4 linked regions of the Drosophila melanogaster genome follow. Changing the gene in region 1 together with any one later gene gives a genetic interaction. Each region holds a gene or a part of one and is shown on either strand. Other genes may lie near its edges. The genes, in order: mtm, Pi3K68D, 14-3-3zeta and Sbf.

The links.
Region 2: of mtm (region 1) and Pi3K68D, changing one suppresses a phenotype caused by changing the other (phenotypic suppression), as found in Drosophila melanogaster (3 studies listed by BioGRID).
Region 3: of mtm (region 1) and 14-3-3zeta, changing one suppresses a phenotype caused by changing the other (phenotypic suppression), as found in Drosophila melanogaster (one study listed by BioGRID).
Region 4: of mtm (region 1) and Sbf, changing one suppresses a phenotype caused by changing the other (phenotypic suppression), as found in Drosophila melanogaster (one study listed by BioGRID).

What each region holds. Positions count from the first base shown.
Region 1 is NT_033779.5:6,032,113-6,040,005, reverse strand, and holds mtm (myotubularin), read left to right. Parts: upstream 1-2,990; 5' UTR 2,991-3,194; coding exon 3,195-4,728; intron 4,729-4,783; coding exon 4,784-5,109; 3' UTR 5,110-5,275; downstream 5,276-7,893. Other genes in the region: CG31643 (uncharacterized protein), read right to left, coding at 63-1,803; CG9117 (uncharacterized protein), read left to right, coding at 2,191-2,877; CG9109 (uncharacterized protein), read left to right, coding at 5,683-6,075, 6,131-6,267, 6,417-6,684, 7,080-7,212, 7,529-7,682.
Region 2 is NT_037436.4:11,785,610-11,793,722, forward strand, and holds the start of Pi3K68D (phosphatidylinositol 3-kinase 68D), read right to left. Parts: upstream 4,405-8,113; 5' UTR 4,313-4,404; exon of another isoform or gene 4,012-4,312; 5' UTR 3,932-4,011; intron 2,637-3,931; 5' UTR 2,604-2,636; coding exon 1,570-2,603; intron 1,502-1,569; coding exon 1,449-1,501; intron 1,031-1,448; coding exon of another isoform or gene 1,017-1,030; exon of another isoform or gene 443-1,016; intron 1-442. Other genes in the region: twy (twitchy), read right to left, coding at 4,669-6,124, 6,190-7,520; CG10907 (uncharacterized protein), read left to right, coding at 7,978-8,113.
Region 3 is NT_033778.4:10,097,788-10,105,832, reverse strand, and holds the start of 14-3-3zeta (14-3-3zeta), read right to left. Parts: upstream 6,157-8,045; 5' UTR 6,095-6,156; exon of another isoform or gene 5,983-6,094; intron 4,798-5,982; exon of another isoform or gene 4,656-4,797; intron 2,712-4,655; exon of another isoform or gene 2,692-2,711; intron 1,719-2,691; exon of another isoform or gene 1,650-1,718; intron 1,578-1,649; 5' UTR 1,486-1,577; coding exon 1,424-1,485; intron 1,117-1,423; coding exon 1,003-1,116; intron 893-1,002; coding exon 766-892; intron 132-765; coding exon 8-131; intron 1-7. Other genes in the region: RpLP0-like (ribosomal protein LP0-like), read left to right, coding at 6,347-6,374, 6,440-6,687, 6,748-7,242; Jra (Jun-related antigen), read right to left, coding at 7,697-8,045. UniProt on the Drosophila melanogaster protein: Required in Raf-dependent cell proliferation and photoreceptor differentiation during eye development. Acts upstream of Raf and downstream of Ras, and is essential for viability.
Region 4 is NT_033777.3:11,792,384-11,800,072, reverse strand, and holds the start of Sbf (SET domain binding factor), read left to right. Parts: upstream 1-3,124; 5' UTR 3,125-3,229; intron 3,230-3,578; 5' UTR 3,579-3,637; coding exon 3,638-3,692; intron 3,693-3,763; coding exon 3,764-3,867; intron 3,868-3,936; coding exon 3,937-4,257; intron 4,258-4,316; coding exon 4,317-6,352; intron 6,353-6,418; coding exon 6,419-7,689. Other genes in the region: ClC-a (chloride channel-a), read left to right, coding at 1-1,082, 1,176-1,220, 1,309-1,344, 1,530-1,799, 1,926-1,955, 2,034-2,267, 2,326-2,631.

The sequences.
Region 1 (7,893 bases):
GTAAAGGGATAAAATTGTTTAAATTTGTTTATATTTCAAATGAACCAAAGTTATCAACTTACTCTTGCGATGACTGAGTGTTCTGACAATCATGCTCAATTCGCTGGCATTTAGAGGGTCCTTTTCGGCATCTCTCAAGTGCCTCTCCGCACAACCGATGAGAATGCTGTCCATTGTGGACAGTTGCATGCCAGCTAATGCCGGAAGATGCTGGCGAAACCTTAGTTCGCTGGCTATTTGCATGCCGCGACTGAGGAGAAAGCAATCCTGAATGCCAAGCTGGGGCGCCATTGCGAGCATTTTGCTTAACAAAAAGTTGGGAAATTTCTTCCAGGCCAACGGAGTCTGCCCGTAAGCTAGCACAAAGGATGCAAGTCGTGCGAACTTCGCTGGCAGCCTTCCCGCTATGTCATGCTCAATAGCATTCATGCACATGCGACTTAGCTTTCGTTCCAGTTCTAAGTGACGGTAGGTTCCTCCCAGATTGTTATTAAAGTTCATATAGCGTTGACAGTGTCTCAGGAACCGTAGGTGCAAATGCTTTTCCGGACAGGACTCCAGCTCTTTTACAACTCCTGACCAGTATGTGTTGCAGAATTCAATGTCGGAGACTTTTAGTGCACGCAGAACGCTGAATAAATGTCCGCTCGCATTGGGTTGCTGCCAGGCCTCTTCGGAGTAGAGCAGTTCCTTAAACTGATGCAGATACTGGTCTCTCTGCAGTGGCGTTGCAAAGGGAACTGCACAAAACAGGGCGTCAGCAGTGCCTTCTTCCTGTAGTAACTTTTCAAGGGCTTTCTTGAGCGGCTCTATCAGTGCGGCGGGTTCTTGATGATGCAAAAATGTGCGACAAATGCTCTTTAGATCTGCAGACTCCATCTGGTGTATGCAAGGTCGCAAGACCAGCATGACCTCCCGAATCAATTGGGTGTGGGTCTGCGACCACACTGGAATATTCAGCATGTGGATCACCTTCAGAAGAGCCTTAGGGGTTTCGCTGCTGAGGACGCCGCTTTGCATCATTTCAGTCAAGCGCAACTTGAAGCGCGTAAACAGCTCCTCATCAATGAGAAAGTGTAGCTGAAAGAGGCACGTGGACAGAAGGCGAACCTGCTCTGCGCTGCGACACCAATTGATGTGATGTTCCAGGTGCGGAATAAAGTTCCTACACACAAGCGGAGTGAAGAAGTCGCGTTCCAAGTTGATGCCCACCGAGAGGCGAGACAAGGAGGTCAAGGGAATGACTTCGTCATCAACTTGTGACTCGATTAATTGAAGAGATCTCGTCAGCACGGCCTCCACGACTGCCTCGGAGTTTGGTATATGCATTTTGCGCAGGTACAGGTAGCATCTACTGAGATCATCGATCTCCAGTTGGTGTACATAAGGGGCCAACTTTGGGAGCACGTTAAGCAGCACGCGATCCGTGATGGCATCTTTACTTGCCTGCTCCGCGTCGTGATAGATGTTCCACAGCAGTGAGATTCCCATCACCACATGGGAGCTCTGCAGGCCGTCACAGCTCTCCAACACATCTAAAATCTGGTTACCCGTCTTGGCCTCCTCCAGTCGGGTTAGAAGAGCATCCTGTTCCCGTGGCACGCCAAACTTGTCTTGGAGATCTCCGTTCACCAGCTGCGAGTGCTTCCTCAGTTTTTGGCCCAATGCCGGCAGCAAGGCAGCTGTTTGGATGGGCGGCTTTGCGCCAATGTTAACGTGCCGTCGCAGGAGCTGAAGCTGACGCACTCGCAGAAGGTATTGTAGGTACTTCCATTGTGTCCGCGGCAGGTGGTTCAGATACATGCCACTTTATCTCACGCTTATTCAGAAATCGTTGAATAATAACAAAATTACGCCGTATAAACATGTGAGTGAATTTTTGGCGATCAGCTGGTGTCGGTGTTGCCATGAAATCCTAATTTCCATTATACTGAAACCAATAATGGAATCAATGTGTAAAAAAAAACTTAAAATAATTTCTGAACTGTGATTAGCGGTATACAAGTTAGATAAGTAATTACTTAATTCGTAAGTAATTTGTTTATTTCGTCAAAAGTTTCATAGTGGCAACTCTAGTTTTCAACAGGTTGTTGACGAGTTGACATTTCTGTTTGTAAGCAACAGCTGATAAGCAGCTGACCCTAAATAATTTAATAGGCTAGAGCGTTATCGTTGTTAAACAACTAAACAATGGCATACACTGATCCTGCGCAACGAAACCAGGTGACCGTGCTCCAGGTCGGCTATTCTCGCCAAGAAGAAGGAGACGAGTCCGCCATGCGGGCTAACTGCACATGCACACTGGTCCGCTGCCGGGATGGCACCAACATAATCGTGGACACACTGACGGCCTGGGATGGAGATCACCTGCGTTCGTTGTTGGGCCAGCAGGGACTAGGCGTCGATGACATCCACGTGGTGGTCTGCTCTCACGGACACTCTGACCACATCGGTTGCAACTATCTGTTTCAGAAGGCACGAATGCATTTGGTCGGCGCATGTGCCTCACATCACGACCTCTACATGGACCACCTTGGTAGTGGTAATCCAGACGAGCAACTGGCCCTAGATTCGAATGCCGAGGTGGTAGTGAGGCGGTCGCCAGGACACACCCTCAGCTGCGTTTCAGTTCTTGTGGAAAATTCCCAGCTGGGTGGACGGGTCGGTATCACCGGAGATCTCTTCGAGCGTCGCGAGGACATCGACGATGAGAACATTTGGATGGACGCTGGAAGCGAAAACGAGAAGGTGCAGCGCGAGGAGCGCAGTAAAATGGCACAACTGTGCGAGTTTATAATCCCAGGACATGGTCCGATGTTTTCTGTCACACAATCAATGCGCTGTAAACTTAAAGAAGACGCCACTTCTAACACTTAATTTATTAAGCATTAAATACATATGTTAGAGATTTTTTTAAAAGCGGAATTGTTCTAGCTTTCCTTGATTACCAGTTAAATGTCTGAAATAAGTTGATTAATTCCAATACATAAAAATCAAATTTTCCGCCACTACATAATGTCCCTTTGGTACTTTTGTCGGAGGAATGGGAAATTATTCCAGATGATTTTATATTGCGTGAGTTGGCAGCACTGCTGCATGAGTTTTGGTGAATTGCATTTAGCTAACAATTGGAAAAGAAAACACAGCTGCAACCAGCAACACAATAGCCAAACACCACTCGTGTCCATCCGAAAATGGATCCCTCCGCGAGCCTGGCCGACAAGTTGGCCTCCAAGACTGCCAGCAGCAACTCTCTGGACAGCAGCTCCAAGTCCAGTTCGCTGGGCTCCAAGCACGGTGGCGGAGAAAACGGCATTCTGCGGGACACGCCCTTCGGCTATCTGGAGGGCGAAGAGGACCAGGACCAGAAGAACGACGTGACCTACGTGTGTCCGTACCGCGGCCCCGTCTTCGGCGCTCTTACCATAACCAACTACCGTCTGTACTTCCGGTCGCTTCCCCTGCGGGATCAGGAGCCGCCCGTCGTCGTCGACGTGCCTCTGGGCGTGATCGCGCGTGTGGAGAAGATTGGAGGTGCCACGTCTCGCGGTGAGAACTCGTACGGCATCGAGATTTTCTGCAAGGACATGCGAAACCTGCGATTCGCCCACAAGCAGCAGAATCATTCGCGGAGGACGGTGTTTGAGAAACTGCAGGCCAACGCCTTTCCGCTCTCGTACAGTGGGCGCCTCTTTGCATTCGCCCACGCCGCGGCCAACTCTGTGAACGGTAACGGAGGCTGGGACGGCTGGGCGGTATATGAACCGCTGGCGGAGCTGCGCCGCTTGGGCGTTCCCAACGATATGTGGCGGGCGACCAAGCTAAACGAGTCCTACGCAATTTGCGACAGCTATCCGGCCGTGTGGGCTGTGCCCAAAGCGGCCTCCGATGATTTCCTGAGGCGCGTGGCACAGTTCCGATCGCGCTGCCGCCTGCCGGTTTTGTCCTGGATGAACCCACGGACTCAAGCGACCATTACAAGGTGTTCCCAGCCGCTGGTGGGTGTAAGTGGCAAGCGAAATTCCGACGATGAAGCATACCTAAGCTTTATCATGGAGGCGAACGCCCAGTCAGACAAGTTGACCATCATGGATGCGCGACCAAGCGCCAATGCGATTGCTAACAAGGCCAAGGGCGGCGGCTACGAGTCAGAGGACGCGTACAAGAACGTGGAAATCAACTTCCTCGACATACACAACATCCACGTGATGCGGGAGAGCCTACGCAAAGTGAAGGAGGCTTGCTTCCCCACCACCGACGACTCAAAGTGGCAGACGGCTATTGACAACACACTGTGGCTAAAGCACATTAGGTGCATCCTGGCCGGCGCCGTTAGGATTGTTGACAAGGTGGAGACCATGAGCACCTCCGTCGTAGTTCACTGCTCCGACGGCTGGGATCGCACAGCCCAGCTGACTGCTCTTTCCATGTTGCTGCTCGATCCGCACTATCGCACAGTGCGCGGTTTCGAGGTTCTCATTGAGAAGGAGTGGCTCTCCTTTGGCCACAAGTTCCAACAACGCATTGGTCACGGCGACAACAAGCACTCGGATGCAGACAGATCTCCGGTGTTCCTGCAATTTATCGATAGCGTCTGGCAGGTTAGCCAGCAGTTCAACAACGCATTTGAGTTCAACGAGCACTTCCTGATAACCATCGTGGATCATCTGTACTCGTGCCGCTTCGGCACCTTCCTCTGCAACACGGAGGCCGAGCGTGTGGCCGAAGGTTAGACTGATTGCTGTTTGCATGGGCTTGGAAGTAATTTTCACATTTATTGTAGATCTCAAGCACAAGACAACATCCCTGTGGACGCACATCAACTCGTCGCTGGACCAGTATTTGAATCCACTCTTTCCCTCGTTCACGCACGGCGCCGAGCTAGTGCTGCGTCCGATTGCCAGCGTGAGATCGGTCCGCTTGTGGAAGGGCCTATACTGTCGCTGGAATCCTGGTCTGTGCGCTCCTCAGCATGGCTGCCAGCGAACCCGCGAACTGCTATCCAAGCAGGACCAGCTCTTTAAGCTCGTCAACGAGCTGCGGCTCAAGTCGAACAACCGCAGCAACAGCATGCAGACAACTACGCGACTGGCCTCGCCTATGCACTAATAGTATTGCTTTTTTATTCCCCCTACTTGTACGCATATGTAGTGCACGTATTGTGAACTACGTTCTAATTCCAAATAAAAGTTTTTCTTAAATGGAAAACTAGTCGATTCAACATTGTATCATTGAACCACATTATCGAATCTAATTAAAGTGTTAAATGTCTGAGAATGTTTTAATTATTTCATGAATAACATCATATAGTTCAAATCGTATAGCGTTTTCGCAGCTCAGTGGAGCTACTTTTATATGTGCCTTAAACTAGTTTGGATGTCAAAAAGATACCTAAACAGGTGACCAACTGTTGCACGCTCCTTGTGATTCATTCATAAACACCGCTTCATAGAGGCGCCTGCGCGTTGGACTACGCACGTTAAATCCCGAATCCCACTTTTGACACCACAGGACACAAAACATTTCGGCTTTGCGCCAAAATTAAATCACAGCTGCCTCAGTACGACATCGCACGTTCATTGGGACAGACGTGTTCCGATTTCCGGTAGGAAAAGGGCAGGTGTTTGTAAAATATCAGGAAATGCGTTCGGAACTCTTAGAGTTCCGCAATAGATATTAGTTATGCCTACTAGGATATGTGTGCTGTTTGGGCTTCTGTGCCTCGCAAGCTTATGCTGCGGTAGTAACAAGCCAGGAGAGGTGCTCCTGGTTATCGCCTGTCCCCCGCATCCTCAGCAGGCCAGAAGTGATTGTTTAGCCTTATCGCACAACGTGCTGGAGCAGCAACGGGCACTGGAACTGGCGGGGATCTTCCCCGAGGACTTTGTCCTGAAGGTCCATGTGATGCATGAGCTCTTTAACTCCTGGACCATGCTGGACGCACTGCCTCATCTAAGAGCCCAGGCACGTGTGCTGGGTGCGCGCACGGAATGGATTATATGGTGTCAACACAACACGCGTGTGTCTTCGTTGCGCGGCCTGCTCGAGCAACTGCGTCGCCAGAACCCAAGGGAGGTGAGTTTGTCACTGGAGGCCACAACTGTGTCCTATATCCTTGTGCCTCCTCCAGCTAGCTTTCTATGGGCACGCCCTTTACGATGCGGAGGCAACCATCATCCACCACTTCTCGAACTACAAGGATCCCCAGCGGTTTCCATATCCCATGCTCAGTGCCGGAGTCGTTTTCACTGGTGCTCTGTTGCGAAGGTAAGTCCTTTTTAAATGGCATATGAAAGTAAGTTATTACAAATGCATTGAGAAAGAAGGGATAAGTTGATTTAAGTATTTGAAATGTGTCTCGACAATTGGTAACTCGAACATTGTTTTACATTCTTGAATGAATCACTTGTTACCAGGTTGGCGGATCTGGTTGCTCCTAGTGGCCAAAACATCACCGTTCACAGCGATTTCTCCATTGATGCCTCTCACGAGCTGGCTCGCTTTATTTTCGACAATGTATCGCCCGACCCGCATATTAGCACCCCGATTTCCGGAGGAATCCTGCTGAAAAGTGCCAGCTACATATGTTCCACACCCACGTCCGTGCCAAACAGGAAACTGCCTTGTCTGCTGCATGCGCAGCCGGAGGAGCCACTGACTTTGGGGCAGCGGAGAAATGGCTGTGTAAGTTTATTTATGCCTGGCATGCCTTGTTGCAGCAAAATCATATATCATGCTAAGGGGCTTTTGATTAAGATGAGGTATTTGCAAAAATGTCAAAATTTCGTTATTTTGCATGAATGTTTTTAAGTTTACCTGTTTGTACTATTCAGTACTATTTTTTGAGACACCTGTGTTTGAGATATGCTTATCTAAAAACGGACAGCAAACCTTTAAATCAAAGTTCATTGAGTGCTTAAAATTTAAAACCCACATACATATAGATAGCAGATTCAAGATTCAGCCCGAGCAATTAGCATTTGAAACCTCCATAACCATAAATTGTCTATCGACCCCGAACTGAAACCCTCCGTTTCCGCAACTGCCGTATTTTGGCCACCCCAAAACCGGACGAGCAGGAGCACACAACAGGATCGCATATATACTTCGCCATCAAAACCTGTGCGAAATTCCACAAGGAACGCATACCAATCATCGAGCGCACCTGGGCAGCCGACGCCCGGAACAGGAGATACTACAGCGATGTGGCAGGTGAGCACCCCGATGACAATGAGCGGGCAATTAAACCGAATGGGTGGGGGATCAGGAGCAGCGGGCGGTGCACCAACAAAAACACAGTGACAGGCTGACTAAACACATCCACACAACCATATCATCCATATATGGCTGGGCAAACAGTGAATTTCATCCAGCGTGATTGGCCATTCACCACTCGAAATTCCCAGCCCAATTCCCCAATCCCCTGCAGCGCCCGGTGGCGAGGAGTCCACTTATTGAATATTCATTGATTTGACTTTCCGTCTTTCCGACTTTCCTGCTCCTTCTGCCCCAACGAAAACCTCAACAGACGTCGGCATTCCGGCAATCGGCACTGGGATACCCAATGTGCAGACTGGACACTGTGCCAAGACAATGGCCATTCTGCAATTATCCCTCAAGGACATCGGCAAGCAATTGGACATCCGCTGGCTTATGCTCGTCGATGATGACACGCTGCTGAGGTGAGACTCAATTTACAGATTGATTGATAGGTATGAATGGGGATACTTTGGATTAGCCACTTCCTCGGAGGTTCAATAGCCAACTCCATGAATTGATGGCCTTATTATTACAGACCGCTGCTGATCCGAGATTTATTTTTTTTAATTTATTTAAGTAAAGCCAGCTTTGCACTGTGTATTGCGATTGCTACCCTATAAAGTAGATTGTATA
Region 2 (8,113 bases), on another chromosome or scaffold:
ACCTAAGTGTGTATTTTTAAATCGCTTTGTTTATATTCATTCTAAATCTGTCCCCTCTGGTGCCCATACATCTGTTTCATTTGCCACAAAAGGGAAAGCTATTTGCTAAACACGTCGTTATTTTAAAAGCGTTTGGTAAATACATCTGTTTGAAATGCATTGCTACTTTGGCGGGAACTTTGAAAGCCAGCAAAACAAAAAGGGTAAGCGTACAAGTAATTTGACAAAAGTGCAACGACTTGAATGCAAATCATAGTAAAGAGTTAGTTGATTTTCCAATCTAGCCAGAATGAAATAAATAAATACATACATATGCTCGAAAAGCTTCAAATCTATTGTCAATTATTAGTTAGAGAAGCGTGAATGTGCGTTATTTAATCTTTTAATGGGAAATGGAAGCAAGCGGCTAAACGAATAATAAAACAACAACAGACTGCAATTTGTTTAAGAAATTATTTATTTGTTCTCTCACAATGGTACACGATAGAATTAAACATATGTATGTATTTATTTTTGTATATAAGTGTATTAATGGATATATGTAGCAGCAAATCACAATTTGTTCATTTCGTAATACATGGTTATTAAAAAGAAGTGACTAATTCTTCTCATTTCATCACTTTTCAATTGACAGTCGTTAAATTCTTTTAAATTTTGAAGTTTTCAGTCGCGGGAATATACATAGAAACCAATTCCAAACATTGCGAACTAGTTGAATACGACATTTTGGACATCGATATATAAGCTGACTTCAAAATTATTCCGGCAATAGCGGAAGGCACGAATTTCGATATGAGGGCACATACATATATGTATATATATTACTTTAGTATTTTTGTGTAATAAGGTGGTCTAAGTAAGTGCTGTTATAGACACTAATCTGTCATTGCCTCCGAAACGAACCAATCTGAACCGAAACCCTTTAGATGGTGTAGTTGTTGTGGGTGTAAAGTAGTTGCTTTTTTGCATTTTTGGTAGTAGTAGTACTGATAGTAGTAGAGGACAATTAAAATGGATTACTTTTTCGACACTGCAATATAGAGAAACGGAAACATTCAGTTTAATTCTTAACTAAAGGCGAGCGACAACTTGCTACGGGCAATTCTAAAAAGGATCTCGTATATCTAGCCAAACTAATTGTTGCTAAACAAATAATGGGATAAATATAAAATTAATAAAACCTATTAGTAAATACCATACAAATACAAAATCGTGTGCTTGTTCCTATTCAATTTAATATTCCTCTCTCCTAGAGATTGAGTTGAAAAATCCACTAATGTTATTATGCCAATAATTTTTATTTGCAGCTCAAATGAATGCTCTGGCCAAAAATCGCAACACACGAGTTTTCGACTGTATTTCAAGTTTAGTTTACGGTGCGAAAAATGTGGGGGGATTTCAACGAGGACCGGGAGCTACACGTTAATTACAACATTGAGGCTGCTTACCAGTATTGTCGTTTAGCAGGGGATCGAATGCCTCCAGCACACTCACACGGGAGCTGCAAAGCAGGATGTTTGAATGTTAAAAACACGAACTAATCATTTCTGAACACTAGTGGATACATACTAGTCCTCGTGGTTGAGGTCGATCAAATCGTTGCCCCTGCGTGGGACCGAGGAATGACCATTGTTTCCAGTGTGGCTACTAGAGCTAACCCCGACAGTCGAGGGCACTTGGCGACGCGCTGGGAAGGCTACTCCATTGGCCTCTGCGGGGGAGGAAGTGGAATGGTTGGACGGTTGGCTGTGATGATGACTTGTTGTCGGTGCTGTTTGTTGGGGAGCTGGTTGCGATTGGGGTCGACGCAAATCCATGTGCGTGTAAGCACCTCCAAAGCCATATCCCTGTGCGGGATACTGCGGCGGCATAAAAGCAGCCGATCCGGGAACAATGGGAGCCGTGTATGGAGTAACCACAGCTCCGGGATAGTACATATAGGCGTTTGGCTGCGGCACTGGAACCACGGCCATTTGAGCGGGCATGCTGTACAGCCGCTGCAGCTCCTCGCTGTTTAGTGGCCTCTGTTGCTGAGCAGCTGGTTGGTAAGGCACCAACTGCAGGTCACCGTAAGCCGGTCCACCAACAACTCCACCTGCAACCATGCCGTACGGTGTGGGCTGAGCAGCCGTTGGACGTTGCTGATGAGGTGGAAAGCCGTATTGAGGAGGAATCGAAGCCGACGCAACTGGACCCATTGGCACCAGGGCCGACTGCGGATTGGTCGGCTGCATCCGCTGCAGATCCTCTATAAGTTTGCCAAAGGGACTGCTACTCTCTGGCTGCTTGCTGGTGGGACTTGCGAAGCAGATCAGATCGTTATCCGTTCCCTGGGCCGGCGGTGTGCGCGATCGTTCCGCATTCTCCGGACTGATGGCCACCTGATGCACCTCCGAGTGCCGTCGTGGTTGATGTAGGCTCTGACTACGTTGCGCCGCCTGGTAATCTCGGCCAGCAACGGTGGAGCTTTGCTGATACCCGGAGCCGTACTTCTTGTTTCGCCTGTAGTCATCGAGGGCATGCTGCTCTAGACTCAGGGCGGTCGCCTTGGCCAGGTCATCCTGGAATTGTTTGTCGTAGTCGATATGCGCTTGATTTGACATTATCCCCTCGTCTAAAGCGTCCGGTCCGTTGAGCTGCGAATGGGAACCAGAACAAAATGTGAGCGATTTCCAAATTTTGTTAAAATTATTTTCGTATTTTCTCTTCCAATGCCTATTTGTTGTTGAACAAAGGTGTTTGCTTTTGGGATTGCTTATCTCTGCGATAACGAACAGGCGGTGATAAAAGTGATTATGCAGTGTAAATGGCAATGGTACTATATGAGTACCTGGACGAAGAACAGGTGAGATAGCATTCGATGGGGGGAAGACCACTTGCGACAGAGTGGGGGTGCCTATCACTAGTTTTTTTTTTTTAAGTTGCAAAGGAATATTCGCGATCGATAATGAGCCGTCATTAGCGGGCACCAATGATTCAGAAATTCAGAAAATAGGGGAGAACAGATTGATCGCTTTATTAGATTTGTAAGCTTCGAAATGGTTAAAAGGATATGACAACTGCATTTAAAACGTAATTACAAGGATTTGTGATAGCCAGGGCAGGGACAGGAATTAATTTTATATTTTAAAAAATATCAACTTCTAATAGAAAAGTTCGAACATCATTATGCAAGCATGATATTAAGTATGATTAGCAGAGTTTCGACATTCGGTACAAACATCAGCAAAACATTTTATCTTATTGTTTGTACATACAAATGTGGTAAATACTTGTGTACTTTGCACATAGAAACCATATCCAAGCGCTCCAAATTTGCGATTGCGATACAGCAGAGTGGCGCAAAAAGGCGCAATTGAGTGCGCGATTGTAAATAAATATATAAAAACAAACAAAAGCGGCGGCATCAATTTGCGTGAATGAATGCTGCGAGTACTGATTTCCCAGATTTTACACATATATACGAATATATGCAATATAAACGTATATATATATGTCAGCATGTAAGCGTTTTGATTTTTTCCCCATTGAAGCCAATCTCGTATGCAGATAGGAAACAGCTGTTTAATATAAACACACCCACAAAAGCACTAGTGTGTGTGTGAGTCCGTGTCGCGAACGGGGACGGAATGGAAGATAAGAAAATGCGAACCGGCTAGGAATAGGAAGCGAGGAAGAGAGAGCAAAAGAGAGGGTTCCGTGCGGCAAAGGTTAAGGTAAATCAATAGATTGCGAAAAAATTTTTAAAAACAATATTCATAAACAATAAATGAACCCAATTGAATGCCAATTTATTCCGGAGAACGTAAGAATAAAATTTAAAAAAAACGAATATCGGTGGAAGGGCGAAAGAAAATAATAATGGAGATAGTCATTAATATGCAGACTTGACTTCTGCTTTGTGATTCTCATCCGCATATTGCCAACTTACTTGCTTTTTGAGGTGTCACCTCCGCTGCTTTTTACACCCGTTGCTAGTCTCTTTTTGGTTGAGGTTTTCCCTTGACGGGGCTACGAACATAGACCATCCGGTTAATAGTTTTACACTTTTATCCTCGGTTGTTGTTATATTTGACGAATCACAATTAATTTAAACTTAACCAAAGGTTTTTTTTTTGTTTTTAGGAGAGTTGTTTTATCCTCCTACACACCTAAACACCTACACACATACATGCGAAACGACCATACACAAACACGAACAGAAAACAGTGACAAAAAACGGAATAGACGCAACACCAAAATACTGAACAAAACGTTATTTTCTTAGATTTTCTTGCACCATCACATATTATGTACAAATCAGTTAATTTACAATAAAAAAAAAACAATTATCTTGTGCGCAAGAACTTTAAACACGAACAGCACGAAATAACACAAAACGGAATGCAACAAGCAGTAGCGATGGTAAACGAATCGATATTGTTTGGCAACTATCGATGAAAGATACATCGAACAGATGTTTGAGTATTGGCTAATCATGTAGCCGGGTTTCACTCCATCAATTCAAATTTATTGAGTTTCTAACGAATAACAAAATACTTAACTTTCGAGCGATATGTAATCTTGTATCTTCATAGTTTGTTTATAAAACTTATACTAATTGCCAAGTAATACATTTATTTATCTCAGTTGTTATTATTTGTGCTTCCACAAATTTTTCCACAATATCTACATAAATGCTTCGTCCACATTCAGGCCGTGATCCATGGCCACCTTGGAGTCGTCGTCCAGCCCACCAGCTAACGTCAATAGATAGTCGGGATCATCGATTGAACTACTGGGGGGCGCATTGTACATCCTGCGGTAGGAGGCTTCGATGTTTTCGTCCAGCATTCGATCCACAATGTCACTCTGGACCTGTCCCGGTTCCTGGGACATTTTAAGCAGCAGCTCCGCATGACTGGGTGTCACTTGAGGCAGTTGAAGATCGGTGGCTGCTGTGGGATTTACATTTGCCCTTCGCTGGGCGATTTCCGCCGATTCCGCACCCATTTTGCAGATTGCACACCTGCTGCGAGAAATCTGCTTCTTCAGATTGACCAAAGCCATACGATCCTGCGCCACCAGCATTCGTTCGTGGGCCAGCTGTGCCTCCTTTTCCGCGATTTCCTGGGCCCGCTTGGCCATGACCTTAAGCTTGGCCTGGAGCAGCTGGTCCGCCTCCCTAGCCTTCTGCTCGGCCAAGTGTTGGCGACTAGTGGCTAGGCGGTAGGCGCCGGTGGCTTGGCCCAGTTCGTCCTCCTTGAGATTTAGGGCGTGCTCCTTATCCAGAAGATGGCGCTTGCGCTGCTCCATTTCGCGCTGCAGCTTGTGGTAGCGATCCCGCTCCTCATCCGCCCGCCGAATGGCTTCGCGTGCCACCTGCAGTTGGGCCTCCAGTTCCCGGCGATCTCTGTCTGGGTCGCCGTGCTCATTGAGCTGTTGTCTTAGTTCAATCTGCTGGCGTTCCACTGTCAGTTGATTGCGCTCCTCCTGGAGATCGTGGTGCAGTCGTTCCATTTCCGCAAGCTGCAGTGCTTTAAGATCCTCCACACGCTTCTCGTCCCGCTGCATTTGCTCGCGATGGAATTCTTTTTCGCGCTCGAAAGCCTTGCGCTCCGCTTCCAAGCTGGACATTCGTTGACGGAGCTGCCAGTTCTCTTCGGCTGACTCCTTGGACAAACGGCCCAGCTGCAGCTCCAAGGTGCTCACCAGTTCCATCAGGCGGCGCTTCTCATCGTCGGCCGTCTCCTCGTCCATCTTTAGACGCCTTTCCTGGTCGGCCAGGCGACGTTCTCGCGCCTCCAACTGCCGTTCCCTTTCCTGGTTGTCACTCATCCCGTCACGAAGTTCTTGAAGATTGCTGGACGCCAGACGCAATGTGTCCAGATAATTTCCATGATCCTGCACCGCCGACAACTCCACCATTTTAGCCTGACGAATACCCTCGAGGTCCAGCTCGTGGGATTGACGCAGCTTGCGCACCTCATCCTCATGATCTTGTCGCAGGCTGGAAATCTGCTCCACATAGTCCTCCTTCTGCTTCTCCAGTTTTTCGATGTAGTACTGCCGTAACTCGCTATTCTCGTCCTTGAGTCGTTTCTCTACGACGGACAAGTGCTCCTCCAGCACCTTGATTTGTTTTCTGGACATAAAATTAAATTCTCTTACTCATTTGCATTATTATTTCAGCAGCTGGTTAAAACTTACTTATATGAAGAATCTATCATTTCGATCTCCTGCTCATAGTTGACCTTCATGTTGGCCACCAGCTCATCGAGTCGCTGTTTCTCCAGCAGATTGCGTTTGGCATCCATTTCTAGCAGAAGCAAATGCTCCTGTTCCTGACTGGTCGCCTTGTGGTGCTCCTTCCTTTCCGGTTCCGGTTCCGGTTTCTCCACGAGCGGCGGTGTGGACACCACATCCTGTACACGCACTGGCTGCGACATCATCAGCTGGAGGTGCATGTTGATCCGCTCCTGCTGGCCTTTTATATGCTCCTCCATTTGCTGCTGTCGCTGCAGCTGCTGTTGGATTAATGCCTGAAACTTTCGATCCTGATCCTCTTGGCGACGCTGCATCTCCAATAGAGTCCGCTCTTGACTCTTCATTTGGGCGGCAATCACCAATTGTGCCTCCTGCTGCTGCAGGGCATTGAATTTATGGTTACTCTCCAGGTTGAGATTGCTAAGCATGAGGATATTTTGGGTGGCGGCAGTGACGACGGATGGGGCGGGCACGGCGGCCATTTCCGCCTCCTGCTCCATACCGTTCTCATCGGAGTCGGGCAGGCGCAGGATGTCGGCTGTATTCTTGGAAGGACTTTCACTTGAGGGCTGCGCCTTGGCGGTCTGCGCTTTCGGTGTTATCGGTCGCTGATCCGGCTCCTGCTCCAGACCCAACCAATCCGCGGTAGTTCCCCGTTTTTTCGAAACGGGAGTGGACATTCCCGAAACAGTAGCATTCGTATCCCTGCCAAAAAGGCCCAACGGATCGGCATTCATATTAATGGTGGCCGATTGCGCTGAGCTTCTTCTGCCGGTAGAAGTCTTGGGCCTCGCCTGCGAGTTGTCCGTGGTGGTGTCCGTGGATTGGCGCGACATGGATGGTTTGCTAGTGGCCGGACGTTTGACGGCATCTCCCGCCAGAATCTCATCGAAAATGTTTTTCTTGGGCTCCGCGTTGCTGGTCAACAGATCATCGAAAAGGCTCCTTTTGGTGCCGCCACTCTTGGGTCGTTTGGGATCAAAACCCAAGTCATCGTCCTCGACCAGATCATCATCCAGTGAGATAGATGGCTTCTGCTTCACAATTCTCGGCGTGCTGATGGCATTGGGTGTCTTTCTGGCACCCGTTCCCTGTCCCTGGACATCCGCCTCCGTCTCCTCCTGAATCCCAAACAAATCCTCCAGTTTTCCCTTGGGCTTCGCCAATTTGGCTGGCTTCTTGTGACCCACTCCCGCTGGCGTCTCAAAGAAGTTGTCATTATCCAGGCTATTATCGCTGAGCAGTTCAGCCAGTGGATCGTCGTTGAAATTCATTGTGAATAATAACCAATGGTAAAAAGTAAAAAGAACTATTGATATGTAAACGATACGGTTGCCTAGTAACGAATTTTAAATGTCTACAGCAACGAAAATAATCGAACAGGATAAAGTAGTCTTTAATATTAACTAAGGGATAGCGTAAAAAAATGTTTTGGGATTTCAATGACTACATAGTTTTTAAAAGTATGTTTAATTTCAGGTTTTTACTTAATTCCTTTGCATGAGAGCTTATAGCATTTCCAATGGAGGCTTACAGATATGAAACCTTAGAATAAAAATAAAATCAAACTAGCTTTACACCATTAATTGATATAAATTTAAATTGTTATAATTTTATTAAATTTTTTTAACGATATTAAAAAAAAACAAGTGTTCGAGGAATTGTTGGTATTTTGTAAAGCGTGGAGTGCGGTCACACTGCCGTTGAGATTGTTTTGATTTTTGTTAAAAAATGAGCAATATTTACATCCAAGAACCACCCACGTCGGGAAAGGTGCTCCTTAAGACCACTGTGGGCGACATAGACATCGAGTTGTGGGCACGGGAGTGTCCGAAGGCGTGCCGCAACTTTGTGCAACTCTGCCTAG
Region 3 (8,045 bases), on another chromosome or scaffold:
TACTTACTGTTGCGTGCATCTCCTGTGGCAACCTCGGCTAAATACCTGTAGTAATCACCCTTCATCTTCAGGTAAAACACCTTGCTCTCGGGATTGCTGGCTTTTGGAATAAGGTATTTGTCCAGAAGTCCCTGTAAGCAAAGGAAACAAGTACTCCAATTAATTTCATATCAATTTCGAAAACCAAACGCAACAATTAACCAAGTAAGCCGCCAGGCTTATTGTAAACCTTGTTCTAAATCATTTTCCATTTTAAAATCCATCAAGCACCAGTTAAGTTTAATCCAATATAAAAGCCCCAATCAAAGAAAAGCGAATGGGGAAACCCCCGAGTTCAACCCTGGCCATGGTCATTTTCTGATCCGTGAACGGCAATATAAATTTCATATACACACAAGCGAAAACCTCTGTGTGTGGGGGAAAATGGAACATGTTCATTTTAAAAATAGATTTATTGATTGTAACAAATTTTTATATTTCACTAGAGCAAGAAGGAAGACCAGAAAACAGGCCCACCCTCTGGAAAACCCACTGAACCATCCAACCAACACCCTCGGACAGCTGAGCTTGCCAAGGGCGGAGGTCTTTATACATATATATATATATATATATATTTAGGCGGTTGACAGGTTTGCCATCTTCATCACCGTCAATGCAGATGAACAACCAAGTGAGTTGTGGGCATGAAAATAATTAGATGGACCAATTACAACCCCATAAATCCTTCAGAAAGAGACTTGCGCAGACTTGCGGACCACCACTTACCAAAACTTCGTAGCAGATTTCCCTCAGCTCCTTCTCCACACGCTCTCTGTACTCACGGGCGAGCTGCTGTTTTCTAGCGGATGCTTCGGTTTTCTGCTCAATGGAGGAGATGACACGCCACGATGACCTGGTTTGGACATGTTAAACACACCCGGAGAAGGGGCAGAAACATACAGCTTAGCACTTGAACTCCAATCTATAGTGCGACATTAATCAATCTGTGATTGATTGACTCACCTGCGGGCACCGACCACATTTTTGTAGGCAACGGAGAGCAGATTTCTTTCCTCATTTGAGAGCTCAACGCCAGTCTCTGTGACGGACTTCATGGCCTGGGCCATATCATCGTAACTGCATAGAAAATGTTCCATTAGTGATTGAAAATATTTAGTCATGTAGATCACAGAAATATATGCATTCTTTAAATTTTGAAGAACAACTTAAATGATACATATATTGTTCATTAGAAGATGATTTTAAATGGATTTAATAAAACAGAAAACAATGTTAAATCTTAGAGTTCTTATAACTTCCAAGAATGTCTTTTTTACGTATTAATAAATATTATGTGCAACTATAACTTTTGCCAAATGAGTTTGTAGGGTTCTTTTGAAGTTCTGTGAGGTTGATGAACTTTATTATAAGATGAACCACTTACCGTTCTGACTGCTCGGCCAGTTTAGCCTTCTGGACCAGCTCTTCCTTATCGACTGTCGACATTTTGTTTGATTTTTTTTTCGGTTACTTCACAAAACTAATAAAATACGCCACACAGTTCGATATGCCCCTCAAAAGTTGCTAACAATGGCTTTCTGCAATAAATTAGAACGTAAACAGGAGCATTAGTGTGTTTTTCAGTGGAGGAGAAATGTAGGTGAGGCCACTTTAACCCGTTATCTCGTTCTCGCCTAACGGTTCTCGGCTGTGAGCTCTTAACAAACACCTGACTGACTAACAGAGTTCTGTTGCGGATTACTTGTCTGTTATATTTAGCTAAAATTCCACAGCAACCAGCAGTTGCACAACACTGCGAATTTTTGTGTGGCACTGTATGTTCTGTGGAGTGAACTCAACTGCCATATACGATCACCCCTTATAGGGGATAATAGACATTATAAGATATTCCATGTTTTTGGTTCGATAGATGCTTATGCTTTTAAATTAATTGAAGGCCGCGATTCTATATTTTATATTCGTTAGCTCTAAAAGTAATTTAAAAGATGTTTTGCTTGACTACAAAGTTATAAAATGATTTTTCCTTATAAATTAAAGAACTTGAGTGACTAATAATATTATCTGAGTCACTCAGACAAGTCCAATATACCCGCAATGCACTTGCGCGAGTATTCCTAGGAAGGTCGTACGAATTTAGTTTGTTGTCATGCTTCCGCTGGACGAAAGTGTTGGATTCAAAGCTGCGATGACTCATGCATTCGCAGCAGGTCTTTATTGACTAATCGCTGACGGAATGGCTAATTTAAATGGGAAAAAGCCAGCGACAAAAACAATGTGGCACTGGACATGGCCGCACGTGTGGCAACTATGCAACTATTCGAAGCCCAGTTTATGGGTTTGTGGAAGGCCGAAGGTGGAAAGAGAGTATCTGGCAGATAGATGTGAAAAAATACAAGTTCGACAACAGCGATAAAAATAAACCATGAATAAAAAGAGAGAGGGAGAAATGGAGCACAAGTCGGCCCGCCTTAATGCGTTTTTATATATTTTTGTGTGTGTGCCAAAGATAGATATTTATGTACGTGCATAGAGACCGTCTGTTTGTGTTCTCCGCACAGTGACGCACTCAATTACTTGCCCACTCGCTGAACTTCTATCGATTAAACGTGCAGTAATTATTAGAAAACAAACAGAAAAAAAAAATCCAAATAAAAACACGGGAAAGCAGGCGACAATCATTAATCCGCTCACACGTAATCCAATTATAATTCCTTGCGATAGGATCATCCAAACTTTCAATGTAGGACCAATTTCCGGCTTGAATTTTCAAAGGGACGTGGGAAAGGAAAATCGATTAATTTCCGCTCGACCTGGAGAAAGCTTGGAAACAAGAACTGCGTAGGACGAGGGGTGAAAATCGGTCTGTGGAAATGCATATGTATGGGCGTTGCTGGTATTTTTAGACAACTGGCGGCTCTGGACAAAAAAAAAAAAAATTGTTTTGTTTGCCCGCGCAACGGAAACCTCGAAAACCAAGCAAGAATGCCAGCTAATGCAGCCAGCCGATGATTGAAATGGAAAATCTCAACACATCGGCATCATAAAAGCACCAGCAACAATCCCACAAATACCGCGTTCAATTGGATTTACAGTCCAGCTTGGCTAGCAGCGACCGCTGAATAGTTGCTACATTGAAATGGTTAGGTGAAAAATAGTCTCCAAAATGTTTGAAACCCCATACAAATGTTCTTTACTGAAGCTAACAACTAGTTTCAAAGACCCAGTAACATTGGCAGAAGCAATTATAAATGCTGATTTCTGCGCAGTTGCCTAAAAACCAACCAATTGAAGTTTAAACCATATGAAAACAGCTATTATTTGTGTTGCGACCGACCGCCAAATTGAAAAAGCATTGACCCTTTGTCAAAACAAAAAGGGCGGCGGGGCGTGGCGTAGCAAAAATATGGAAGGGGGAGGGTGCGGTGCGGTCTCCCGACGCGTTTTTAGGTCAATTGGCATGTTTTCTGCCTGTGCTCGGTAAATGCCAAAACATTAAGCCAGGCGTAACGTAAATTAACGTAACACTCCCCTAAATGGTCACAAATATGTTTGTAGTTTTTATCGGATAAATCAAAGGAGGAAAAACTTGTTTCAACCACGCAGATTGCTCATCTGCCTGAATGAATAAATTGGTAAATAGGGGGAAAAACAGGTGGGAGGTGGGTATCTCGAAGTTATAGATACGTAGACCTTAGAGGACGGTTTAACACCCATATGGTCAGGCTAATTTCGGGGCTAGAAAATCCTGCGAAATCCGTGTCGGATGGATACTTGGTACTTTAAACCTTATCTGCGCCGGCCGACAGCATGCGCAGTAGCTCAAGAACCCCCCCCCCCCCCCCAAACCCCCCGAGACCGAGCCGAGCAAGAACCCAATCCCCGATGATGTAGAAATTCCTCTACACTGTAGATACCGCTACTGCGGCTCTACATGGGGCGAAAAAGTTACTAACTTTTATTGGGGCTGTGTGCGTGCGACTCTGCGTGTGTCGGTGCGTTCTGGGTGGTGGTGGTAATGGTGGTGCGGATGGGTGAGATGGTGTTGGTGGGGCCGCCAATCGTGTTTCCAAGTGCGGCGCTACAAAATTATAAAAATAATCGGGAGAAAGGAGGAGCGAGGTGGGAGGGAGGGAGAGAGCGGAGAACGCCGCAGAGAGAGGCCGAAATGTATCTACCACAGGCGGCCGCCAAGTGTGTTGAGTTTGGCGAGGAAACCCACCTAACCGCGTGTCCCCATCCAAGTATCAACTTGGATATATATATATATATATCTATCTTGGCGTACTGTGTGTACATATAGCTGGCTATATAAGCGTAAATATAGAAGTCGGCTATGTCCGCCGCCTACAACTTAACCGATGAACTGCTGATGATGATGAGAAATACGAAGCTACAAGCGAATCTCACCGCATCACATACATGCACCAATACTCGGGCAACTCGGGAATGTTCTTTTCTTTCATTTTCTTTTCTTTTCCTTATTTTGCACAAATTTACACTTTATTCTTTTGCGTAGATTTTTTTTTTTTGGCTTCGGATCGATGTCTGATTTATGTATTTCGATTTTTCTGCGGGACGAAGTATAGATGCATGTAAGTGATTGCTCATAGGCGGCATTACACGTGTTTTTTCTTCGGATATTTTAGCAATTTTACGTTTTATAATTCCATACACACACTGGCAGGCGCACACACATAGGTACAAGGCACTCTGGGCCAGCAAAAATGTTACTTACATTCTCGATTAACTGAAACTGAAACGACAACGAACACTACCAACGAACGAATGAGAATGACGGACGGCAAAGGTTGCACACATTCGCCGCGCCGCTGTATCTGTGTTTCTGCGCTCTCTCCCCACGCACACTCTAGCAGGGGCACATGCGCCGCCGCAGAATGAGAGGGAGCATATGGGGCTGGCTCAGGCGAGAGCGAGAAAGTGCGACAAGTGAGAGAGTTTCAGGGTTGCCAACCTGCTGTATAAATTAATGTTGCCAGGTGTGCAGGTAAAACTTGGAAACCAAACTTTCAGATAAAATATACTAATTAATAGGCGTCTCAGAACTTGTAGATAGAGAGCTTTAAAATGAGCCAGCTTTTATTGTCAAGTCTTTGTGTTATCATCGTTTTATGAAGTAATAGTTTATAGTTCGTTTCCAACCTGTTGAAACTTTCGAGCGCTTATCTCGCTGCCAGATTACGCTTTTATCTTGACTTTATGGCCTCCGCAAGGAGGAAACTAATCGGGAGATGTATGCCATTGATAAGGGGGTGGCGGTAAATTGCCTTAATTCTAATTTGGATTTCATTGAATTGGTGCACTCACACATAAAAACGAGATATCCACGTACTTATGATTTTCGTGAGGTGAGGCAGGGCCTACGATTGTGGGCCGGAAGTTAAGGCGAGGATTTAACAATCAATTTCTAGTTCTAATTATACTTAGTCCTGTCAATATGGGATAATTCGACAAAATTAGAGTATATTCTTTTGAGTCTTCTTCTATTGTTAATTATACAATAAGAAAATATATTTAATATTCTATGATGTTTTTGTATTACATTAAGCATAATGTTCAAGTCATTAAAAAAAAAAAACGGTAATTAGGTGTACGAGGAATTTTCTAAATAATCGTGTAAGTGTATTGCAATTCAACTCGTGCGTGGCGAAGACATGCTCACGCGCTCATCTCTACATTTTACTACAGCTCACAAAGAACAAGACGGAAAAAATTACGTCATCGGCGTCCTATTTGGTTGCGGTAATGAAAAATTGCTACGTCCATTTCCAATTGTAATGGGATTTTCGCAAGGCCAGTACCGCACGCAATCAAATGCGGAGAGCCCAAGGGGCAGGTGGCATCCAATTAGGAGGCCAACGGAATCGATAAAGTGCGTGGGCGCACTTATTCGGGGAAAATTTTATCCGCCGACAATATGGCGGTCGCAAGCCGACACACGACGCACTAGGTGAAACTACTTACTGCGCCTGGGTTTTCAAGCGAATATCGAATATATGCGTAATCCTTGGGCTCTCAGCACACGACTTTTAACTTAGTTTTAAACGAGCAAGCACTTATTAATTAGTTAATTCACCTCTTACGGCTCGGACGTGAAGGTTCTTCTTCTTCTCTACGCGCAGATGTGTTGGAAAACGAGGAAAGCTGAAGTAGGGATTGGCCCGCAGGAATTTTCCAACCCGCACGGTGCGAAATTCCGATACACGATAGAGCTATCGATTGTTGGTTAGGAACATTTACCATCTCTAGAAGGCCGCACGTGTTTACGTTCGGTGGGAAATATTCTTGGTTTCTGTTAAGAAAACGTTGCTATTTAAAGGCTACAGATATGCCGCGCTCCAAACGTGATAAGAAAGGTGAGAGTTTCGGCTTTAATATATACGATTTGTACTTATAACGTGCGATACTCTTCTTCCCTTAGTTTCCCTGACCAAAACCGACCGCAAGGGTCTGGCTTGGAAACAGCGCATTGTGGACGACATTCGGTTCTGCGTGGGCAAATACCCAAATATATTCGTTTTCCAAGTTCAGAACATGAGGAATAGCTTGCTGAAGGATCTGCGACAGGAGTTGAAAAAGAATTCTCGTTTTATCTTTGGCAAGAATCGTGTTATGCAGATTGGCTTGGGTCGCACGAAGAGCGAGGAAGTGGAGCCGGAATTGCACAAGGTAATTAAGTTTAAGTGGATTAACATATATCAGACACTAATCACAGGCTATGTCTATTAGCTATCCAAGCGATTAACTGGCCAGGTGGGACTGCTTTTCACGGACAAATCCAAGGAGGAAGTCCTGGAGTGGGCAGAAAACTACTGGGCCGTGGAATACGCACGCAGTGGCTTTGTGGCCACGGAAACGGTTACCCTGCCAGCAGGTCCCCTAGAGGACTTCGCCCACTCTATGGAACCGCATCTGCGTTCCCTGGGCCTGCCCACCAAATTGGAGAAGGGAATCGTTACGCTGTACAGTGACTACACGGTTTGTGAGGAGGGCAAAGTTCTAACACCCGAACAGGCGAGAATCCTCAAGCTGGTGGGCAAGCCCATGGCCAAATTTCGGCTGACCATGAAGTGCTCGTGGACAAAAAGCGAAGGCTTCCAGCTGCATGTCGAGGATGATGTGAACGACGAGGAACAGGCTGATAGCGCAATGGAAGAGGAGGCCGAGGCCGAGGCCATGGATGACAACGACGACGATGATGACGAAGAGGAGGATGATGAATAAATAAGTTTAAGGCGTAGAAATAATTTTTTTATGTATATATCAAGTGCAGAAAATATACGTATATTTTAAAAGTACATTACATATTATCTTACGTTCAACACAGATAATACTTGATTAACACTAGCTTATACTAATAACTAAGTAAACAAAACACTTAAGAAGCATTTCAGATATTGCAGCTAAAACCAAAGAAAGGCACAAAGCCTCAGGTTGCGTCGTCCGCGAGGATGTAGAGCACCAGAGGCTGTTCGTTATCGCTCTCCTCCTCCAGGAGTTCGCTGTTAGTTAGGGAAATATCCTGAGAGGCCGAGCCCTCCAGCTCCAAGGCACCGGTGCTAGCACTTGAAAAGAATTCCAGAGGCATGGGTTGCTCGGGATCTTCAGGATTCGAGGGGGTTTCAGTCTCCAGTGCCACGTCCTCCTCATCATTCTCCCCGGCTGACAACTCCAAATGTTATTGGTCTGTCGAGTTCGGCGGCACCGTGCAGCCCGCGGCAATGTGCTCCATCACCTGCTGCTTCAGCTGCGCCACATGGTCCTTGAGGTTCTTCACGATGCTAGCCAGGTCGACGTTCTCGCCCTTAAGTACCTTCACGCGATCCTCCAGCTTTGAGATGCGCTCCAACTTGCGCTTGCGGCACTTGGATGCAGCCACACGGTTACGCTGCCTCTTGCGCTCCAGCTTGATCTTCTCCTGCGCTTCCATGTCAATGGGATTAACGGTGGGCGAGCTGGCTTGATTGACGGGCTCGTCCTTAATCACCGAGAAGCCCTCGGTCATGTTGGTGTAGGTGAAGGTGCCT
Region 4 (7,689 bases), on another chromosome or scaffold:
TCGCATCCACGATACCAGTTCCGTCGGGCATGTTCATTCCGGTTTTCAAGATCGGTGCTGGCTTTGGTCGTCTGGTGGGCGAGTTCATGGCGGTGACATTTCCCCACGGCGTCCGGTATGGCGGTCGTCTCTCGCCCATCATGCCCGGAGGCTATGCCGTCGTCGGAGCGGCCGCCTTTTCTGGCTCCGTGACCCACACGGTGTCTGTGGCGGTGATCATTTTCGAGATGACTGGTCAGATTACGCACGTGGTACCCGTCATGATTGCTGTGCTGGTGGCCAATGCCGTGGCGGCGCTGCTCCAACCGTCGATATACGACAGTATTATATTGATTAAGAAGCTGCCCTACCTGCCGGATCTGCTGCCCTCCAGTTCCGGGATGTACAGCATATTCGTCGAGGACTTTATGGTGCGGGATGTAAAGTACATATGGCACGGCATCTCGTATCAGAAGCTCAAAGAAGTCCTCAAGCTGAACAAGACGCTGAGATCCTTGCCACTGGTGGACAGCCCGGACAACATGATCCTGCTGGGTTCCGTGCAGCGGTACGAGCTGATCAAAATGATCGAGAAGCACATTGGACGCGAGAAGCGAATGGAGGTGGCCCAGAAGTGGCAGAAGGAGGCTCAGGAAAGAGCCCTCGAGGAGGAGAAGAAGAAACAGGAAGTGGAGCTCAAGATGCGGCGACCATCTCGATTCGAGGTCCTTCCAGCTCCGGATATTCTCAGTTTACGCCAGATTGCCAACGACGAAATGCTGCCGCCCAAGAAAAGGGCGGAGACAATGCACGGTTCGCTGGCGCCCAGGAAGTCCATTTTGAAGAAGACCAACTCCTTCAACCTGAAGACCTACGCGCAGCCCATGGGGCACAGTCCCAGCATCACGCCCTACACCACGATCACCGGCAATTCCGAGTTCCGCATTCGCTCAGCCTTCGAGGCCATATTTAAGAAGTCCACCACGCTCCAGGACGTACAGCCGGATCCGGAAACGGGTTCCCTCTCCCCGGCGGCAAGCAACCACGAGGTGGAGGTGCCGCGAACTCCTAGCACTCCCGGTGTTTCCAAAAAGGTTCAGCTGGTAGGTGCATATTTTCTATTTACCGCATAAAAATTGGGTTTTGGGTTATCTAAGTTGCTGAGTAAACCGGAAGAGGAAATCTCTCTTTTCAAGCCTGCACAAAGTAATTGGGATTTTGTAACAGATCAAATTATGCTGGTAAGTTACTCACTAACAACATTCATATCATATCATTTCATTCATTTTCTCGGAATATGTGTGTTTAACTTACTTTAATATCTGCAAGCAAGTAAACCCTATTTCAACGGAATCAAATAAAATGGTAAGCCTTAAAACGAAGTAAAATTATAAAATAAGGGTAGTATCCACGCATGAAGTAGTACTATGGGCCTTTTTGAAGTAGAAGAAATACTTAATAATTTCAGTGGAAGATTGAAGTAGAGTATTGCCAGTTTAAAATATCTATCTATACATAATTTTGTAATCTCAAGATTAATGTTTAAAAAGCCTGCCGAGAAAGATTTCACGGATAAAGCATTATCAAATAATGGAGATAGTTCAAAGCAATCACCGAGCATTAAATTCAAAGCAAATAAAGTGGCAGATGTAAATAGATCTCCTCAGACGGCCAAGAGGTGCTCGAAAATAAGGTTTGCTAACGAAGTTGGAGTAAATGGTTCGCCCACTCGAACGAAATGTAAAATAAAACCAGAAAATGTATTGGGTTACTCTATAGAGGATGTGGATGAAACAACAAATCCAGAATCGCTGGCTGAGGTATGTAAAACTGATGCAAACTTTTGATTAATATCTATTGTCAACGAGCTTACAACGCATTATGAATCATTAACTCTCAAAGTTAACATACACATTTTCTCTCCTATCTTGTAAATCCCAAATAAGAGCATTCAAAAGCCGAAGTCGGTGCGATTGGTACGTTTAGAATATTTTAATTACATAACCCCTTATTTCAATCAAGATATAATATCTACCGATTTGATTGATTTACAGCCCAGGGAACGTGTTATTGACATGTCACCGGAGGATCAGAAGCAATGGGAGCTCGAGGAAATGTTGAAGCCCATCGATTTGCAGAAGGCCAATGTCCACATCGATCCCTCGCCATTTCAGCTGGTGGAACGCACCTCCATACTCAAGGTTCACTCGTTGTTTTCCATGGTGGGTATTAACCACGCCTATGTCACCAAAATCGGAAGACTTGTTGGTGTCGTGGGACTCAAAGAAGTAAGTCTTGTTTGATATCCTTGATGATTATAACAATAACACATGTTTTATTAAACAGTTGCGAAAAGCCATCGAGGACATTAATAGCAATAGTTTCGTGCCCCCCACACGGGATGAGGATGCGGATGAGAAGCCGGCGGTGGAGAAACCTCTGCTGTCGACGAACTCTAGTGATAAGGCCGTGGACATGACCGTCACCTCCATGGACTCGGCACTATCCAATTCCGAGAACTGTTCGGACATTGAAATGGAGCACATAAAGCACACGGATAAGGGCACTGTATCGCTCACCATGCCGCCACAGGAATCTAAGCAAAGTCCATCGGCGGACAAAAGTAACACAGAAAACGGAAATCATGCTTGAAACAAGATGATCGGCCATCATAATAGTTAATACGATACGTATACGTAATATGTTTGTAAAGATCAGCTAAACACATCTATCTTAAGTTACGTCTTACACGAGTTAGTCATCAATGTTATTATGTATTTATATCTCGTTAGTTCATAATGTGAAAAATATCGTGATTTATATTTAAGTTGAAAAGAAAATCAAGTCACCAACGAAGGCTGCGTTTGATTTTTATTTATATACTGGGGAGTATTAATGTAGTATACAAGTTTCCTATTTTTCCAACAGATTAATTATATTATAATTTCCCCAAAATTGTTTAATGAATATTTAAGGCTAAGTGGAAATTAATTTTGCCATTTTCCAATTGATCTTTTAAGTTCGCGCCGATTAATTTGTAGCGCAGTCCGAAACTATCGATACATTCAAAGCGCCAATCAAATATCGACACATTCAATCAGCTGATGCAGAAAGTGTTGGATAATTCGTGAAAATTATTGTGTATTGCATCTATCTTTTTCTATGCGAACTTAAAAATAATTATTATAGCCCCGAATTCTTTGAGATTTGCTGGCAGTTAGCGGGGATTTCGGCTGCAGCCGGCTGCGAGGTGTGTGCGCGGATATATATATATAGATTGGCCAGTCCGATTCCCGGCGAACGATCCCACTTTGCGTGGCGGGGTGTGGTTAAAGAAAAAAGAGTGAAGACCAAGACTCGTAAAGCCTGAAAAACGCCTCCGGGCGCTATAGACAATACAATAACAATTCGGCCCCTCGATCTCCGTGGAGCTAATCATTTATGCCGAGCGCAGAGACGGAGCCTAATTAGCATATCAAATTGGATGACGGCACTGGCGAATAGAATCCATCTGCCGCTGTCCCCTGCTACAAGAACGCAACAGAACAAAAACAAAAAAAAAATCAAAATAAAACATCTTCAACTCTTTGTTCTCCTAGATTTGGCTAGTAAAGAGCCGTAGGATCCTAGACGACTGGCCGGCTATGTGGTGGGCAAGATGTCCCGGCTCGCTGATTACTTCGTAATAGTCGGCTACGACAGTGATAAGGAGAGTGAGTACATCCACATGCCCATCAGCCATAATTAGCAATTCTCTGACATTCAACAATTTCCCTTTTCCCAGAAACTGCCAGCAATGTGGGCGGCCAGCCGACGTGCGGCAAGATCGTTCAGCGCTTTCCCGAGAAAGATTGGCCGGACACTCCGTTTATCGAGGGCATTGAATGGGTGGGTGCGCTTGAAACATTCCTCACTTAATTCGAAGCATATCTGAATTTTAACTTATCATTCCGACAGTTCTGCCAGCCGCTCGGCTGGAGTTTATCGTACGAGAAGCAGGAGCCCAAGTTCTTCGTCTCTGTGCTGACGGACATCGATGCCAACAAGCACTACTGCGCCTGCCTCAGCTTTCATGAGACGGTGGCCATCACACAGACGCGCAGCGTCGACGACGAGGATGAGACCATCGGCAGCAGCAGGCTGCTGGGAGCCACACCCTCATCGATGGATGGCATCACAACGACATCCACGCCGGCTTCCATTACGCACCACAGCGTCATGTATGCACCAAAGTGTCTGGTGCTTATATCGCGTTTGGACTGTGCCGAGACCTTTAAAGTGAGTTTAAAAGTCAGACCACCTAAGATACTAAATTAAGCCATTATCTTAATTTACAGAATTGTCTCGGCACCATATACACGGTGTACATTGAGAACCTGGCGTATGGATTGGAGACACTCATAGGAAACATTCTGGGCTGCATCCAAGTTCCTCCAGCGGGTGGACCGCAGGTGCGCTTCTCTATAGGAGCAGGAGACAAGCAGTCGCTCCAGCCTCCGCAGAGCTCCTCCCTGCCCACGACTGGAAGTGGAGTCCACTTCCTCTTCAAGCAGCTGGGCATCAAGAATGTGCTGATACTGCTTTGCTCCGTGATGACAGAGAACAAGATACTGTTTCTTTCTAAGTGTTATTGGCACCTGACGGACAGCTGCAGAGCTTTGGTGGCATTGATGTATCCCTTTCGGTATACTCATGTTTATATACCAATTCTGCCGGCTCCACTCACGGAAGTGTTATCCACACCTACGCCATTTATTATGGGCATACATAGCTCACTGCAAACTGAGATTACGGATTTACTGGATGTTATTGTGGTGGATTTGGATGGCGGCCTCGTTACCATTCCCGAGTCGCTGACGCCGCCTGTTCCTATTCTTCCATCACCGCTGTGGGAACAGACCCAGGACCTGCTCAGCATGATCCTGTTTCCAAACCTGGCGCAGGCCGATCTGGCGTTTCCCACATTAGAGCGGCCTTCAGCTATTGCTAAGACTGACGCCCAGATTGATAAGGAACTTCGCGCCATATTCATGCGCCTTTTCGCTCAGCTGCTGCAGGGATATCGCTCCTGCCTGACTATCATTCGGATCCACCCAAAGCCGGTGATCACCTTCCATAAGGCAGGATTTCTCGGCGCCCGCGATCTGATAGAGAGCGAATTCCTGTTTAGGGTGCTGGACAGCATGTTTTTCACGACGTTTGTCAACGAACGAGGCCCTCCCTGGCGATCCTCCGATGCCTGGGATGAGCTCTACAGCTCAATGAACGAACTGCTCAAATCGGAGGCGCAGAATCGAAATCTCGTAGGTAGAACTCAAAGATTCAAGGGATATTTTAATTTTACCTTTCCTTCCTACTTTCAGATACTCACACATATCCAGGAATTGGGACGAGTTCTATATGAAAATGAGGGCACTCTGGCTCACATCAGCTATGCCCAAAAAGTACTGCGTCCGCCGGAAGGCGCATTCCAGCGTATTCATCAACCAGCCTTTCCGCGCATAAGTTCGGAAAAGGTTGAGCTTATCATACAGGAAGGGATACGAAAGAACGGAGTGCCACAACGCTTTCATGTAACACGTAATCAGCACCGTATCATTCCGATGGGACCCAGGTTACCCGAGGCATTAGATGTGCGTCCCAATGTCCAAAACTCGGCTAGGCGACTGGAGGTGCTGCGGATCTGTGTGTCATACATCTTTGAGAATCGAATTACAGATGCCAGAAAACTGCTGCCGGCTGTGATGCGCACCCTAATGCATCGGGATGCGCGCTTGATCTTGTGCCGCGAGTTCTTTGGATATGTGCACGGCAACAAGGCAGTTCTGGACCATCAACAGTTTGAATTAGTTGTGCGATTCATGAACAAGGCGCTGCAAAAATCATCCGGCATTGATGAGTACACAGTGGCTGCGGCTCTGCTGCCCATGTCCACAATCTTCTGCCGTAAGCTCTCGACTGGAGTAGTGCAATTTGCGTACACAGAGATACAGGATCACGCCATCTGGAAAAACCTGCAATTTTGGGAGTCTACTTTCTTTCAGGATGTCCAAGGTCAAATAAAGGCGTTGTATCTGCTTCACCGACGTCAGAACGAGCATCAAAAGGAGGCCAACTGTGTGCTGGACGAAGTTCCTCTAGAGGAGCCCACGGCGCTTGAAATTACAGCCGAGCAGCTGCGCAAAAGTCCCAACATCGAGGAGGAGAAAAAAGCCGAGCTGGCCAAATCGGAGGAGTCAACTTTGTACAGCCAGGCAATTCACTTTGCGAACCGTATGGTTTCCCTGCTAATTCCACTGGATGTCAATGTGGATGCAGCCAGTAAGCCGAAACCGGCGTTTCGTCTAGAGGAAAATCAGAGTGTTTCCAATAGGTAATACGAGATAAGTTTCTAACTTTGATTTTATATTTATATATGATTTCAATTATTAAATTACAGTATTATGGGCTCACACAGCCTAAGCGAACATTCCGACGAAGGATTCGAGGAGAACAATGCTTTGGAAATAGGTGTCACGGTTGGGAAAACCATTTCACGCTTCATTGACTGCGTTTGTACCGAAGGTGGAGTGACCTCCGAGCATATACGCAATTTGCATGACATGGTACCGGGAGTTGTGCATATGCACATCGAGTCCCTGGAACCGGTATATCTGGAGGCTAAGCGTCATCCGCACGTGCAGAAGCCCAAAATTCAAACGCCATGCCTGCTGCCAGGGGAGGACCTGGTGACAGACCACCTGCGTTGCTTCCTTATGCCGGATGGACGCGAAGATGAAACCCAGTGCCTGATACCCGCCGAGGGAGCTCTTTTCCTCACCAACTACCGTGTGATTTTTAAGGGTTCACCTTGCGATCCCCTCTTCTGTGAGCAGGTGATTGTTCGCACTTTTCCGATTGCCTCCCTGCTAAAGGAGAAAAAGATATCGGTGCTGTACCTGGCTCATCTGGATCAAACGCTGACAGAAGGACTGCAGCTGCGTTCCAGTAGCTTTCAACTGATCAAGGTCGCTTTTGATCCTGAAGTAACTCCCGAGCAGATTGAGAGCTTTAGAAAGATATTGAGCAAAGCGCGGCATCCGTTTGATGAGTTTGAGTACTTCGCGTTTCAATCATACGGCACCATGCTCCAGGGAGTGGCTCCGTTGAAAACCAAGGAGAAATATTCCACCTTAAAGGGCTTTGCCAAAAAAACACTGCTCCGCGGGGCCAAAAAGGCTGGATTCAAGCAGAAGCAGCAGACCAAGCGCAAACTAGTTTCTGATTATGATTACGGAAGTGCAGATGCGCAGGAAACACAGTCCATCGACGATGAACTGGAAGATGGAGATGAGTTTGAAACCCAAAACAATGCCATGCCCAGATTGCTAACAACAAAGGATGTCGAACGGATGCGAGAAAGGAGCTATGTGCAGGACTGGAAGCGACTCGGGTTCGATGCGGAATCACAGCGTGGTTTCCGTATAAGCAATGCCAATACCAGTTACGCCACCTGCCGCTCCTATCCGGCTATAATTGTGGCCCCTGTGCAGTGCAGTGACGCGGCAATAATGCATTTGGGTCGGTGCTTTAAGGGCCAGCGCATTCCACTGCCCACATGGCGGCATGCGAACGGAGCGCTGCTCATTCGAGGTGGTCAACCCAATAGCAAATCGGTCATTGGAATGCTTAAAAACACGACGGGGAGCACCACGAACGCCCATCACGATG